2 linked regions of the Canis lupus familiaris genome follow. The protein of the gene in region 2 interacts with the protein of the main gene of each other region in a pairwise test. Links are inferred from orthologs where the notes say so. Each region holds a gene or a part of one and is shown on either strand. Other genes may lie near its edges.

Region 1 (7,419 bases), on a different chromosome or scaffold from region 2:
GTTATAGCAGTGTAAGTCAACTGCATTCAAACAGGGAAGAAATGGATAGTAAGGAAATGGAAGTCTTATGATTTTGTCAGTGAAACAACAGAAACAGTATTATAGCCCGGAAGGGCTCAATAGGAAGAAGTGAACAGTTTGTTGTTGTTTTCAAGTTAGGAAGATCTACATGTTTGAGGAAGAGGATTCAGAATTTTTTCCTTTAATGGTGGACACAGTCTTGTGATCCTAAAATAGAACAATTATGCCATAGATTATGGCAAATATACCTATTGTGAAAGTAGACGTCTAGAAAAAAGTGCTTTTCTATATAAAAATCTAAAATGGACAGTAAGTGAAAAACAAGATTCCTGATTACACATTTCCTTATTTCTGGGAAAACAGATGACAGATACATGAAGTGGTTTCCGTCTTGGAGACTCATTCTTTTGGAGTTACCTTAGAAAGAAGCAGTTGCTTCTGTCACCACCACAAAAAAAAAAAAAAAAAAAAAAAAGAACACGGATATTTTTATATGTATCTGCTGTTCGTTATGTCTTTTAGGAAGTAATCGTTCAGCCTTTAATAACAGCTAGGGCTTCTGAGACTGCTTCAGTAAATCACTTAAGTGCGAACATGGGCTCGTCTCGTTGCCTGCTGGGCCTGCATTTTCCCAGCCCTAATGTCAAAGACACAGCGACAAAAAAAAAAAAAATAACATGGACTGTTTTCTTACTCTTGAAATACTGTCTCTCCCTCTGTGCTAGCACCTATTTTAACTTAATTCAAGCTTAGGCTGTATCATGAAAGATGCTTAGGAAGTTACATGGGATCGTGGGCTCCTGAACAGATTCCGCATCATATTCTCGTTTGTCATTAGAATTCCCCAGGCTGGGGCAGCCCGGGTGGCTCGGCGGTTCAGCGCTGCCTTCGGCCCAGGGCGTGACCCTGGAGACCGGGGATCGGATCCCGCGTCGGGCTCCCTGCCTGGAGCCTGCTTCTCCCTCTGCCTGTGTCTCTGCTTCTCTCTCTGTCCCTCATGAGTAAACAAAATCTTTAAAAAAAAAAAAAAAGAAAGAAAGAATCCCCCAGGCTGGCTGTTAGGGCTTAAGAGTTAATCTATCTCACTCACCACTTTATACTTCTATGTGTCCTCCACCTGGCACTTCGTGTCCCCCGTCACCAGACTTTTGCACATAGGAGGCCTAGAGTGTTGCTCCGGTAATCCAGGCAGTCACAAAGTCCCTGCAGCTGCAAACTGTTAAAAGAGCTTCAGGTGGGGGCGTGAAGACCCGGACGGTTGTCAAGTAACCGAACTGCGAGCTTCTTGCGGCCCGGGACAGTCTTGACCAGCCCCTGCCTCAGTCCTGGTGCACAGAAGACCCCCGATCATGCTGAATCAACAGCCGACTCGGTGGGGACTATAACTTCAACCCTATTCTGCAGCCGGGTGCTACAGCATGACAGCGAACTGCTGGTTCTGATCTCACGGAGGGTGTAATCCGACGCTACAATTTTCCAATTTTCTCTTACAACAAAAAAAGGGGGACGCCCGGGTGGCTCAGCGGCTGAGCGCCGGCTTCGGCCCAGGGCGAGATCCCGGAGTCCCGAGATCGAGTCCCGCGTCGGGCTCCCTCTGCCTCGCTCTCTGGGTCTGTCATGAACAAGTAAATAAATCTTTAGAAAAAAAAGGGGGGGGGGATAATTGGGGTTATCTCTGCTTGCGGTTTCCAGGGGCTTCACCTGCACGCCGACCACAGCCACTCGGCTCTGGAGGCTGCGGCGCGACCTCCCGGCGGCGCCGCGGCCCCAGCTTCCGGCGCGCCCCGCGACTGCGCCGCCGCGACCCAGGAGGGGTCGCTGTTCCCGCGAGAGCCTCTGGAAAGGCTCCACCCCGCGGCGGGCGCCGGCTTCCTCCGCCCGAGGCCCCGCCCCCCATGGCGGATTACCGGCGCGTCAGTGTCCCGCACGCCCCCCGCGGCTGGCGCCGACGCTAACGCTCAGCTCCCAGCGCCTCGGGCTCGGCCGCCGCCCCCCAAACCCCCCCGCCCCCCCCGGGGCGCGCGGCCCGCCCCGAGGCCCTCGCTCGCTCGCTCTCCTCGCCCCACCCTCTCGCTTCCCCTTCGCGGAAACGACAGCTGCGGCGGCGGGCCTGGCGCCGCCTCCCTCCACCTACCACGTCTGCCCCCGCCACTCCCTCCCGGCGCACCAGCCCGGCTGCCGCCCAGCATGAACATCATGGACTTCAACGTGAAGAAGCTGGCGGCCGACGCGGGCACCTTCCTCAGCCGCGCAGTGCAGGTACCGCGGCGGGCGGGGGCCGGGGGCTGGGAGGAGGGGCGGCGGCGCTCTCCGCACCGGTTCCCCCGGGCGGGCGGGCGGGCCTGCGGCCGGAGGCCTGGGTGCTGGGTGCTGGGCGCGGCCTGCTTCCCCTCCGGGGCCCCGCGGCCGTCTTCCAGGCCCCCTGGCGCTCCACCGCCGCTTCTCCGGAAGCGAGGCCGGGTGGGGCCGGGGCCCGGAGCTCCCCCCGCGGCGCTCCCGCCCCGCGGCGCCGGCGCCGGTGCGAGGGCCCTTGGAGCCGCGCGCAGCGGCCGAGGGACGGACTTCCTCGCACCGCCCCCACCTTCCCTCAGGTCGGCCTCGCTCTCGCCGCCGCGTCCCAGAAGTCTCCTTTTCCGTCAGCCGCCCGTCTCCCTGACAGGACGGTCACCGGTGGGCGTCCCGCTCCGCCGAGGCCCCGGGAGGCCCGGCCTTCGGGGGTTCCCGCTCACGCTGAGAGTGGGAAGCAGCGGCGGCTGCCGGACGCGGAGAGGAGCCGGGGGTGGGGGTGGGGGGTGGGGGTGTGGGGGGGGCGCCGTTGTCGCCAGTTCTGCGTTTCAGATGTAGCTCTCTGGCGGCGTTGCGCAGTCAGGGAGGCGTCCGCCCTGGGGACCCGGGGACGGTTTTCCCCCGTCGTCGCCCACATTATGCCGACTCCGTTAAATCTGTGAACAGACGTAGAATTTCACCACAACACGAGTTACAAGCCAGCCGGCGTTTTAAGGCAATGGCATAGTCCCGGCAGAACAACATTCTCCTCTGTGAAGAGAAAACAAAAACTAGTTTTCTGACAGGCCTACCAAAACAGATAACCGCGGTGTAAGTCACGCGTCCGGCGTTTACTACTCTGTCTCCTTTGCCCCCAGTTTTGTTGTTAGAGTTGCTCTTACAGTGCACTGTTCCTGGCGAAATAAATGAAGAAGAAGGAAGAAAAAGGGGGGGGGGGGCGGAATGGAAGAACTAGAGCGAAGTAATAGCTGCTTATGTTGTGGGGAAAAAACTGTCACACAGTTGCAAGGCATTTGACAGATTATCCTATCTAATTTTGCCAGATGTTGTGAGCTCCTATTATATATGAGGAGGCCGCCTCAGAGAGGTTAAGAAACTCGCTTAACTTGCACGGCTAGTAAGCTTGCTGTCTGGTGTGCTGCTGGTTGCAGGCTGCTCCTCTCTTCCAGGGTAGGCTTTGCAGATAGAGAGTAGTAAGAATACAACAGGCTGGAGAGACCTTAAATATCGCCTGGTACTCGAATCTCAGCATTTCAGTCACATTGAAGCAAGTAGCGGTTAAGGCATGCGAAATTCCTTCTTGGTCTTGATTTCTAAATTCTGACATCTGCATAGTAAGTGATAGGCTAGCTCCCCTTTCTCCATGAAAATATAAGCTATGTTGTGAAGACATTGAGTGGAACGGTTAAAATAATTTCTTGATTTAAATTAACCTACTTTGAATAGCTCAGAGACGGAGGGCAAGAGAACGAGTGGTTGAAGGTCTGAAATGAATTTGATATATGAGACTTAATGTAACCTGAAAAGAGGCCCTTGGTGTTGTTTATTTCTGATTCCCAATGATTTTGTTTGCTGAGTGGAGATTTGACATTATGATGACACTGTTTTAAAGACAGGTCTGTTTTCAGGTACATAATCCACCGTTTAAATAGGACACGTGTACTAGAATTTGATTTAAATTGTTGGTAGCCTTTATTTAAAAAATCTAGCAAAGCTCTCAAAAGATGTAGTTCCTAGATGAATTTCAGTTACTCATAGTTTCACATTCTTTAGTTTTTAAAGTCTATGCTAATCTGTTAGCTATCAAATAATTTTCACTATTAAATACTTCTATGCCTATACCGTGTCTGCCTGACACTACTATTTTGGACACTGGTGATAATACCAGTATATAAAATTAGCAAGACATCTGCACTCCTGGAGCTTACAATCAAACAGTAAATACATCAGATGATAGAGAAAAAAGGTCACAGGTGATAAGTTAATGGCGGGGGGGCGGGGGGCGGGTGGTGGTGGCAATTTTTGCCATCTTATTTAGACATAAGATTACGACAAGCCTTTCTAGTAGGATCAAATTCCAAGAGACCTCAAGGAAGTGATAGTTCAGTTTTTTGGAGGAAAAGCACTTTAGGCAGAAGGAAAAAGTCCAAATACTTTGAGGTTCTGGCGTACTAGGGACATCAGTTAGGGAGCTGTAGCCATAGCATAGGCAAAAGGTGATAGAACGTAGGTGAGAGAGATGATATCATAGAAGGTTCAGAATCTTTTCAGTATGGTTCCCAAATTGGCTGTAGGTTAGGAAGGAAAGATGAGTTAAGGATGACTGTAAGGTTTTGGCTTGAGCCATATACTGAGAAGGGATAGATTTCAGGAGGAACAGACTCCTTCAATATGTCTTTTTTACATTAAGTCTGTATCTGTTAGAAATAGTTTCTGAAATATTTATGTATAAACTATAGCATGTCTGAGGATTTCTTTAAATATTCCAGAAGAGAAAAAAGGGGACTAGTTGAAACATTGGCAGAATGTTGACAGTTTTGAAGTTGAGTTTCAATATACTATTACACTTTTGAATGTTTGACATTTTGCACAGTACTGGGGGCTTTTTTATTACGTAAGAAAAAAATTAATTCCAAAATGTAACACGTGAAATTTGGAATGTTGTGTGGTAATTTTCAACAAAAACACTATTTTGTCATTTTAGTATTTAGTCAATAATTGAATTCCCAGTCTAAATTGCATTGACATCCGTATAGTGTCAAGTGCCAAGTTTCATGCTAAGAATAGGGTAAGAGCTATGCCAGTTACTCATTATAAGCAATAAGAACAGAAGGAATGGAATTCAGCTTTCTCATTTCTAAATAATAATTTCTATTCAAATTAAATTATACCTTAAGGAATAGATCATTCTCTGGGTGACCGACTGCCATATCTTTTTTCATTCTACTTAAAAATTTTTAGGTTAGAAACTAAGCATTTTCTGTTTTAAAAAAGAAAAACTATTACACAAATGAGTTTCATCACTCTACTCTCATAACATCTGTTTATATGCCATGCAACTTTGAAAAAATGTTGAGGTAAAAATTATAATCAGTAAGAACATACATTCCTTAACACTCTGTTTGGATGTTTTTGTTATTCTTAACTCCCTCAAAATGATAGAATACAAAAGCATCAGGTAATTTGTCCTCCATAAGTTACTTTATTAGTGTCTTAAAAGCCATTTATTCTTACTATCTGTATTTTTGGTCCAGACGCCTGTGTTGAGCATTATATACTCCTTTCCTGCCTTGTCTTTTCTCTCATATATACTGTATTCCTATCAAATTATTTTTTTAATTTCCAAAATACATTGTACTTTTCTAACGCTAGACTTGACTGGTCTTACAGTCTCATCTTGAATGCCCTCCGACCCCTCCCTCTGTCTTTCCTTCCTTCCAGATAAAACTCCAAGCCCATCTCAGACCACAAGAGCTTGATGTGAATTCCTGTGTTATTTTTCAATTCCGTATGATCATGTGGCACTTTTCTTGGAATGAACTGTTATGTAAAGTCACTTAGAGCTGTAAAATTGTTACTATATGGCTTTCACATCTTTATATTAAGATTGTATGTCCTGAGGAATCAACTTTGTTTCTTCTTTCCCTCTCATGGTATCCAACATTGTTCTTTTAAAATTTTTTATATGATTTTAACCAGGCAGGGTATCTATATGAAAGATACTCTTTGAATCGTGTAGCATGTTAAATAATTTTGTTATTTTTATTAGTATTTTCTAACATTATGTCTGCTGAACTTGAAGTTGACTAATGCCAGTCTAAAAGATTAAACTATTCTCGGGCACCTGGATGGCTCAGTCGGTTAAGCGTCTGCCTTCCACTCGGGGTCCTGGGGATCAAGCCCCAAGTCTGGCTCTCTGCTCAGCGTGGAGCCTGTTTCTCCCGCTCCCTCTGCCTCCCTATCCCTCCCACTCCCCCTGCTTGTGCTTTCTGTCAAACAAATAAAATCTTTAAAAATAAATATTAAACTGTTTAATTCAACCTATATTTATTGAGTACCTCTTGGGTGCTTGGCACTGAAGTGCAAAGATGAATGAGACCTAGTTGTTGCCCTCAAAGACTTAGTAGTCCAGTCCCGGTTTGTCATAATTATTTCTTTTTCTTTGTAATAAATATCCATTTTGTGAAGTACTGTTCTGTTACTTCATTTGATAAATGTTTCAAGTGGACACATTTTTACTTGATATTGAAGCAAATCTGCTCAATGTCTTTAAAATAAGACCATATGCTTTCCAAAATAAAATATTTTCAACTGCAATTACTTAGTTTCTTTTTAATTTTCTAACATTTCCTCTGAACTAACTCCTGAAGTTATACAATGAACTTCATGAGTACGAGCTATTTTCTGAGGGAGAAAAGTCTTTAAAGTTTAGTTGCAAGCTTGGCTTTCATCCTCGATTTAATTTAGGGGAACAATGGTGTGTCTAAGCTGGAGAGGTAAAATGAATATGATGCTGCCCTCCTGTTAGATCCTATCTGGATGGAATTCCTACTTGGCCAAACATTTGCCCAAGCCCTTTTGAAACCCTGTTTCCTTTATGGAATTTAAACTGCAGCAACTTCACCATTCTCTCAAATTCTAATAAATAAAACATGTCACATTTAAAGTCCGTACGTTTACTCATTATGTAAAAACTTTGCATATTTAGTGTTACCCTAAACTTCACATACTTGGGTGTTTTTGGTGTTAAATCTAGTAGACTACTAGATAGAAGATGGTTTGTTAACCTGACGTTAAAATAATCACCTGTGAGCTTAGAATGGTAGTTCTCAGTCTTAGTTGCACTTAAAATTACCAGAGGAATCTTTACAGGCTGCACCCCAGTCTAGTTAAGTAGAATCCTTGGGCTTCAATTTAGCATCATTGTTTTTGAAAGCTCCCCCAGGTAATTCCAAAGAGCAGCCAAAATTGAGAATAAGTTGAGAAGGATCTACTTTACAGTCTACTAATACATTATAATCAGAATTCATGTCATATGTTTTCTCCTAGCAAGTTCAGATAACTTTTAAAATATTACTTCACCCAGTCAAAGAATTGATGAGAGTTCATACT
Region 2 (7,659 bases):
AGCCCCCTGTGAGCCCAGGTCCTTGCTCCCAAGGAGTGAGGGCAGACAGACGAGATGCTGCTGGGAGGAGACGTGTGTGGTGGGACAGGACAGATAAAAGAGGGCGCAGTTGCTGGACCCCAGATGCGCCTGGGCAGGGAGACCCGCAGAGGCCAGGAGTGTGGGAAGCAGAAGGACATGGACAGAGACATAGAGGGACCCAGGCCTAGAGCCCGGGCAGGCTGCGTGACTAGAAGGAAATGGTGGTGTATGTGCCCTGTATCCAAGGCCTTACCATCGGTCTGAGCTGCTCTTTCAAAGCCTCAGGCTGTGCATAACGTGTCCTGCGGGGCTTGGAGGACAGGGTGGGTGCTGGCCTCCTCACGTGTGGGCAATTTTTCAGGTAGAACCTTTCGCCAGCTTGTCTGAGGCTGTGCGGAGCTCAGTGCCCCGACTGCTCATCAACCGGGACGTGGTGGGGCCCTTTGCCTGGTGTCCTCGCAGCAGGGATGTGGTCCAGCTGGGGGATGTGGTTCACAGCGTGGAAAGGCTGGTGGAGCTTCTGGGCTGGAGAGAAGAGCTGCAGGACCTCATCCAGCAGGAAACCGAAAAGGTACAGACTGCAAGCAGGGTCCTCGCTGCTCTGGGGTCCAGGTGCCCCTGATGTGGAGCCCTAGCTGGCTAAGACAGTGACAGGAATAGCGCACATCGGTGTTAACCCAGTCCCGGCCACTGTCCGAGGCTGTCCGTGTGCTTATGAGAGCGACGCTGGCTGCCTGTTCCCCAGCGACGGAGCTGCGGTTGGGTGCGGGCAGACCGGCTGGGTCCTCTAAGTAAAGCACCGCCAGCAGCTAGCTCCAGGCTGAGTGTGGCTCGGAGATGAGCTTTGAGGAGCTGAACTTGTGTGTGCTGGTGTGGGGTGAAGCCCACCCTGGGAATGCACTCCTGTGATGATCACGAGAGCTGCTGGCCCGTATCGATCCGCTGTGGGTGCAAAGCCAAAGACGCTCGGTGCTCCTGAGGTTCCAAACCTGTTCCAAGTGAAGTTTCCCAGGAGAATCGGTTAGCATGCGTGGCCCTGGCGTGAGTGCTGATTTTCTAAAGGAGGCAGCATTAAGCTTTCGAAGTCCAGTCATCACTGAGGATCCTCATGTGACACCGCCCAGGGGGGCAGGGGTCTCGGGTCCGGGGTCAGGCCTTCCCCTCACCCTTCCGGGCAGAAGCCCCCAGCCTCTGGCTGCAGTCTGCTTTCTTACCAAGTTGAACCAAAGAAAGAATATAAGGCTTATTAAGGCCAGGAGACTTCCACACATTTTAGACATTGTGGCTGCTATTTTTTCTATCTCTCCATTCCAGAGTTTGGCTCTAATGGCTAAGATGTAGGCTGGTATCACCCCTTATCTTATTATAAATGTCAAAGTCATATTGCTGGATCATTTTAGGGAAGTAGAGAATGCAGGTAGCTCCGGAGCCTATACTTTGCACATCAGGAAGACAGGCAGCGGGTGCTTTGGTCAGATCCACCTAGCAGCTTCCTGGCTCTGACGTCCTATTTCCGTACAAGACTAAGCCAAGTGGCCCCCAAGGACTTTTGGAAGAAGTCCTACAGACTTTGGTCTGTGCGATTTTATAATCTTATGTGAAGATGTAATTAAAATCTTTATAATTTTATGTAAAGTGGGTTCTGGTTTTGGTTTACGCATACGAAGAGTTGCTATCCAATAGGAAATACCGAGGGATGAACTGCAGTCCACCTTGGGGTTAATTCCACAAATAATGCCTATTTTTGAGCTTGTGAGCTTCAGCACATCTCACCTGGTTACTTAAATGAAGCCCTGTGTTTTGCCGCCCAGCCCTGCTGGCATCGTGTTACTTGGGCTCAATGGCAGCATTGGCAGAGGCAGAAAAGCTTTTATTTGATTAAATAGTTGGAACCCAGGCCCTGAGATCTACAGGACTGATTCCCTTTCTCCTCCATGTTCCAGCTCGATGGACGGGACGGATAGGATCATGGCTGGTCCCCCACCCCTCCTGGGAACAGAAACGGTTCCAAGGAGTCACTGCCCACCTCTGAGTAAACAATTTTGGCTGAACCAGGACCGGTGGCCTGAGGAAGAGTGTGAGGCTGCCCAAGTCGTGTTCTGCTCACGCTGTGGGCCACCCCAATCATGGGTGCCAAGCTGCCGGCATCTTTCTGCTGTTTGACTCTTCAATCTGAAGCTCTTGATGCCAAACAAAAGCTTTCTTCTGACAGTGACCCTCTTGAACTCAGACCAGCAGGAAGCCCAGACTGAATCTGCTCAGTGTCCAGGTCTCCATCCGAAGGGCAGACTCAGCCTCTGTCCCTTAGACCTGGTCTTGGGCTGAGTGGCCACAGCTGTTCCCAAGGCGTGGTCCTGGGTCCGAAGTAATACAATAGGGTCCTATAGCCTGTTGGCCTCTTTTGTGGGGTTATCTTTAATTAGGGAAACATTGTTCATTTTTGGCATGAAATAAACACTGTGGTCTCCTCAAAGGGAATGTGAGTGTTGACAATGGATGTAGAAAGGGGACCTTGGGCGTGTGTGGACATTCCTCCCCACTGGAATAACTCAAGGATGGAGAACATGCCCCTGGATTCACCCTGGAGTGGGGCCTAGTGCCGTTTCCCACAGAGCCCCAGCACTCCTCATTGAAGGGCGTCGTACCTTGTTCACTCTACCTGGATGCCTCCCCCTCAGCTTCCCCAGCAGGCCTTCCCAGTAACGCCCCCAGGATTAACCTCTATGTGGTGGAAGGCGTTTCTGAGAAAACCTCAGCTGGCCCCTGGCTCACCCCGCACTTCTTGCTCCTGTTGAGGTTTCTTGTGCTGGGGCTGCCGCAAGGCCCAGCTTGGACAGCACCACTCAGGCACACCTTCCTGATCGCTGGCTCTTACCCTGTGTGTGGTCCCTCATGCTGGGCATCATTTCCCTGCCCGTGGCACACTTAACAGACTCCTCAAAAACAGATGTGACTAATGTTGTAGAAAAAGGGCTGAATTCTGAAAGGAATGAAATTAATTCCTCATACATAGGCTCCTGCTTGAAACTCTTTATTCCAAGATGGTGTTTCTAGGATGCTTTGTGGAACGTGATAGAAATCCAGACTTAGGGTTTTACAAGGTACATTTTCCTCATGTATTTATGGTCTACGCCAGTGGGAAGGTCAGGACTCCACTGTCACAAGCGGTGAGCGCTTGGGTGCTGTGGATACTAGAGCAGACGGCTGAGCGAGGACCTAGGATGCGGAAGAGGCTACCAGTCCTGAGCTCAGTGGGGACAGAAGTAGCAGCGCATACCTTGGATGTATGTTTCTGTCCTTAGTGTGTACAGTTCTGGCAAGCTCTTTTCCTGTGAACTGCAGCACTTGCTTGCTGTGGAAGCTCTAGGCAGGCATGCCAGACTGGGACATGCTTGGGTGTGCCCACACTCAGCCTCTGCCCCCATCCTCTTGGCATACACCCGAGGCCACTTCATCAGTAGAAATCAAGGCTGAGTTCCCAGAGTCGCAGCAGGACCAGACCCTCACAGTCCTAAAGATAAGAAACCGGACCAGAAACAAATCATTAACAGAACTTTGGAGGTAAAGAGAGAGAGGGATCTCTGAGCTGGAGAGGGACATGGTTTCCCCGGGTCACAGTCCCAAGGACATCTCTGGAAGCAGCACCAGTTCTGAAGGGGGAACCAGAGCCTGGCTGTCCTCAGTCGGGGTCTGAGTCAGGTTCCGAGGAGAGCTGCCCTTCCATGGTCTCACAGATAGCATCCTGCAGAGACGTCAGCTGACCCCGGGGACTCATCCCCATGGGCTGGATGACTCTGTGCCTGCGAGGGAAGAACATGGTGAGGCTGGGGGAGAGGCCCGGCAGGTGAGGCAGTCCCGCTTACCCCTGGCTCCGTGCATGTGCTCCAAGCTGCTCCCGTTTACTAGGGAAGCCAGGGTGGGAACTTGTGTCAGACACGCCTGAGTCCCAACTACTACCTGGTGGCTTTGGGGCCTTACACAGTCTCTTAATTTCTCTAGGTCTCAATTTTCATCTCATCTATGAGATAAACGTAATACCAACCTCAAATCTAATCCTTTCCTGAGGCGTTTCCTTTGTCTCCAACCTGAGTGAGGCAGCCCTGCATAAGCCCGTCACTGACCCCACCCCCTGCAGCTCACTAGGCTGGACCCGGGCCTGGGATTCTGTTCTCCCTTCTCCCCGCCAGGGGCCCCTCCTCACCACACCACGTACCTGGAGAGCTTGTCAAACATGTTCACCAGCTTCATGGCCTCGTGCTCCTTCTGCTCCTCCGTCATGCCCTCCATGGGGTTGGGCGGCTTTTCCTCCACCCTCCCGGTCACCGGGTTTATGCTGCTTCCCAGGGGAGGGGGCATAGGGAATGCATGAGTGCCTCTCTAGAACAAGAGGCAGCTGCCCCGGCTGGGTGGGGTCCTACACATCCTGCTTGGGCCTGGACTGCCAAGAAACCCATTCTCCTAGGAATGGCAAGAAGCAAGGTGGCTGCAGGGGCCTCCCTCCAGGAGCAGCAGTGAACCAGCTCCTGCCACCTGGATCTGCTGGTCCCCTAACTGCCTGGCTCCTGCAGCCCATGTTCTCAATGGAATAACCTGATACCAAGAACCAAGGCCTGACTCCCCAAAGTCTGACACATCTGTCATCCCGTCCCACTCACCCTGCGGGACCCTGTGGGTGTGGGAACTGGGACCAGGCCAAGTGAGGGCAGCCAAGGGTGGAGGAGCACACACCTGGCCTTGGCTTCCTTGTACTCATCTGTGTCCGTGTCCTCGTCCTCCGAATACTGGCCCTCAGGCCGGCCGCCTGCCATGAGGCCCCTGGCAGCCAGGAGGCCGGCAGCATTTCCGTAGCCAGTGTACTTGATGAATCGGGGCACTGAGGGGCAGGGCAGAGGTCAGTGTGTGAAGGTGGCGAGGGGCAGGTGTGGGGGCAGATCCCAGCACTCACCACTCTCAGAGCACAGGACAAACAGAAACTCCGCGGCCACTCGCTTCACGTCAGTGTCCAGGTGCGTCATGAGGCGAACAAGCTTGTTCCGCAACAGCTCCCCGACCTCAGGCCGAGTCCTCACGTCCCGCAGTGGGGGCAGCACCTGGGAGGCAGCCGTCCCTCAGCCTGGGCCTGGAGCGGCTGGGGTCTGACCAGAGTTCCGTCCTGGCCCCTAGCCCCCATACCTGGGCCTTCAGGAACTTCCTGGCCGGGCGGTGCATGCGAGCACACTCCGTCAGCACGCTCAGCACGGGGGCCACACTCTCTTTCAGCCGGTGCGTCTGCAGAGGAGCCTCTGTCACCGCCCCCACCTGACCTGAGGTCAGGGGGCTACACGCGCACACTGGATGGTCCTGGCAGGAGGCGCTCGGGAAGACGCCTTGCCACAGTTAGTCAGCTGAGGGGCCAAGAGTGGGCGTTGGGCGTCTGGGAGCCTCAAGGGGCCGCGGATGGAACTGCACTTAGGGCTCTCGTGTGCTCTGGGACTTGGGGCCACTCATCTGCTCTAACCTCCTCACCCACACACCAAAGTCGTAGGGAAAACACAAAACATTCGTAGCCGTTAGCACACCAGTGGCACGTGACCCGTCCTCAAAAAATAGTGACCAAAACGCAAAAACAAAATCCCTACCCTGTGGGCTTCATGGACCCAGTGAGCAAAGAGCTCCTGTCCTTCCCCGGCTTCCCCCCCGCCCAGTGACCTCCCTGGACCACCCCCCCCCACCCCGGGTTGTGGCAGAAGCAGTCACAACCATGATGTGCAATGCAAGGGACCCAGCTCATAGCGCACGTGAGCAACGTGACAACTAATCTCACTCCATCTTGCTTTGCAGTATCCCAGAGGGGCTGGTTGGAGGTCTAGCTGGCCAACGTCCTGTGTGCAGGCATGGGAACCAGGCAGCCTCTGGCTCGAGGTGGTGGTGGGTTCCCCAAGGGATGCCAAGAGACAAGTGTCACTCGTCCCGAGGGCTGCCTGCACACAGCAATGCTAGTGCTCTGACGGCACAGGCAAGGATTCTAGAGACAGCCACAAACAGCTCTAAGACACAAACTCCGCTGTTGACTCTGAAAACCCGTCAAGATAACCAGCACAGGTAAAACCTTCAAGTGTGTGCGTGTGAGAGGGGCCACGTGTTTCTGAGGGAGGTAGAATCTGGTTTTCTGCCAAACTGGACCACGAAGCAGCTGGAGAAATGGCCTGAATCACACTCTGCTTACCAGTGTGACCGTAAAAAAAGCAGTGATCAAGGCTGCTTGGGAAAGTCAGAGCCACTGAGGACCCCACAGGTCAGGTCCCTCTGCCCACCTGGTGCAGACGCTTCTCCAGGAAGCTGAGAAGGACGTGAATCACATCCATGTTCGCTCCCAGGAACTCCAGGGAGCCTTTGTGTGGCTCCAGGGTAAGGAGGACGTCCAGACACTTGAGGGGCAAGTTCCCCAGGAGATTCACTGTGTGGCTGAGGACAGATCAGGAGGAGGGCTTGATAGGTCCGACCCCCCAGCATAAGTACAAGCCTTGCTGCCCCCTAAAGAGGCCGCATGTGACTTGAACTAGCATCTAGGGATTTGATGACCAGAACCAGGGGCCGGTACTGAGGGTGAGACTGACCCTAGAGATGTTCCCACATAGTCGGTGGGGTGAGTTCCTAAGAAAGGGGGCACGCTCCGTCTGGGTTGAAGCCCCGCGGACAATCTCTGGAGCGCCAGAACCTGCCCAGGCACAAGTCGCCGAAACAGAACTCAGCAGTTACTCGCTAACTACCACGTGGTTGGTTACTACTAACTCCACTGCAGACACAGATACCGTTCTTGGATTCGTTTCTCTTGTCCTAGCCCCTTACCATAGACACACACTGATGGAAATCCCACCCCTGTAGGTGAAGCCTCTCCAGGGGGAAGCCTAGCCGACAGCCAGGGTGAGAACTACTGTCTAGACCCCTGAGCACACTTCCCTTCCATTGAACGGGCCCCACCCTCACCCGTGGAACTCCTCTGTGCGGTCTCCAGCAGCAGCGACCATCACACAGTGCCGCAGAATGGTCCCCAGGTGCCGATAAAGGGCCGCATCTTCCTGACCAAAAAGAAAGGGGTTCCTGTGAGAGGAGGCCCCACTCTGGGATCACATGCACGGACTATGCATTTTCTCTACTGTGTGCCCAACCCCTCGTCCTCCCCCACGTAGCCTTGAAAGCATTTCCTTAACCAAGACCATTACCAGGTCTTCCTGGGATAAAAATCACAACCTACTCTAGTGTCCTGCTCGTGACCTCTCCATGTACCAAACAGCCCTCCTACCAGGCTGCAAGTGCCAGGTATGCCCTCTGCCTTTCTCAGACAGTCTCTGAAGGCCCCTGTACATGATGTACAGCTCCCTGCCTCCTCCCAATAGGCTGAGAGCTCTTCCCGTCCTCTCCCCGTCTGATACCTGGAACCTACGAGTTCGCTATAGGCAAACAGAGCCAGCAAGTGTCCACACCGTTAAGCCCTACCTGTGGGCTCAAGTCAGTCCTCACCTCGTCTACCTCCCTCTTGATGGAGTCGAAGGTGATATTGAAGAGCACTTTGAGGATCTCCATGGCCCGCTCGGTCTCCTGGGGAGGAAGAAGCTCCGGGGGGTTCTCGTCAGGGCTCATTCCCAGGGTCAGCTCCAG

Evidence for each region. The genes of interacting proteins can lie anywhere in the genome.
Region 1: the proteins of RIC8A (region 2) and SH3GLB1 interact in binary tests that used the Homo sapiens proteins (3 or more experiments, as listed by UniProt). The link is inferred for Canis lupus familiaris from reciprocal best matches to the Homo sapiens genes RIC8A and SH3GLB1.

The regions. Positions count from the first base shown.
Region 1 is NC_049227.1:62,001,908-62,009,326, reverse strand, and holds the start of SH3GLB1 (endophilin-B1), read left to right. Parts: upstream 1-1,911; 5' UTR 1,912-2,208; coding exon 2,209-2,280; intron 2,281-2,850; exon of another isoform or gene 2,851-3,117; intron 3,118-7,419. UniProt on the Homo sapiens protein: May be required for normal outer mitochondrial membrane dynamics. Required for coatomer-mediated retrograde transport in certain cells. May recruit other proteins to membranes with high curvature. May promote membrane fusion.
Region 2 is NC_049239.1:25,716,203-25,723,861, reverse strand, and holds the end of RIC8A (synembryn-A), read right to left. Parts: coding exon 7,522-7,659; intron 7,080-7,521; coding exon 6,988-7,079; intron 6,466-6,987; coding exon 6,315-6,465; intron 5,290-6,314; coding exon 5,194-5,289; intron 5,112-5,193; coding exon 4,967-5,111; intron 4,895-4,966; coding exon 4,750-4,894; intron 4,355-4,749; coding exon 4,235-4,354; intron 3,822-4,234; coding exon 3,701-3,821; 3' UTR 3,032-3,700; downstream 1-3,031. Other genes in the region: SIRT3 (NAD-dependent protein deacetylase sirtuin-3, mitochondrial), read left to right, coding at 383-592, 1,965-1,985.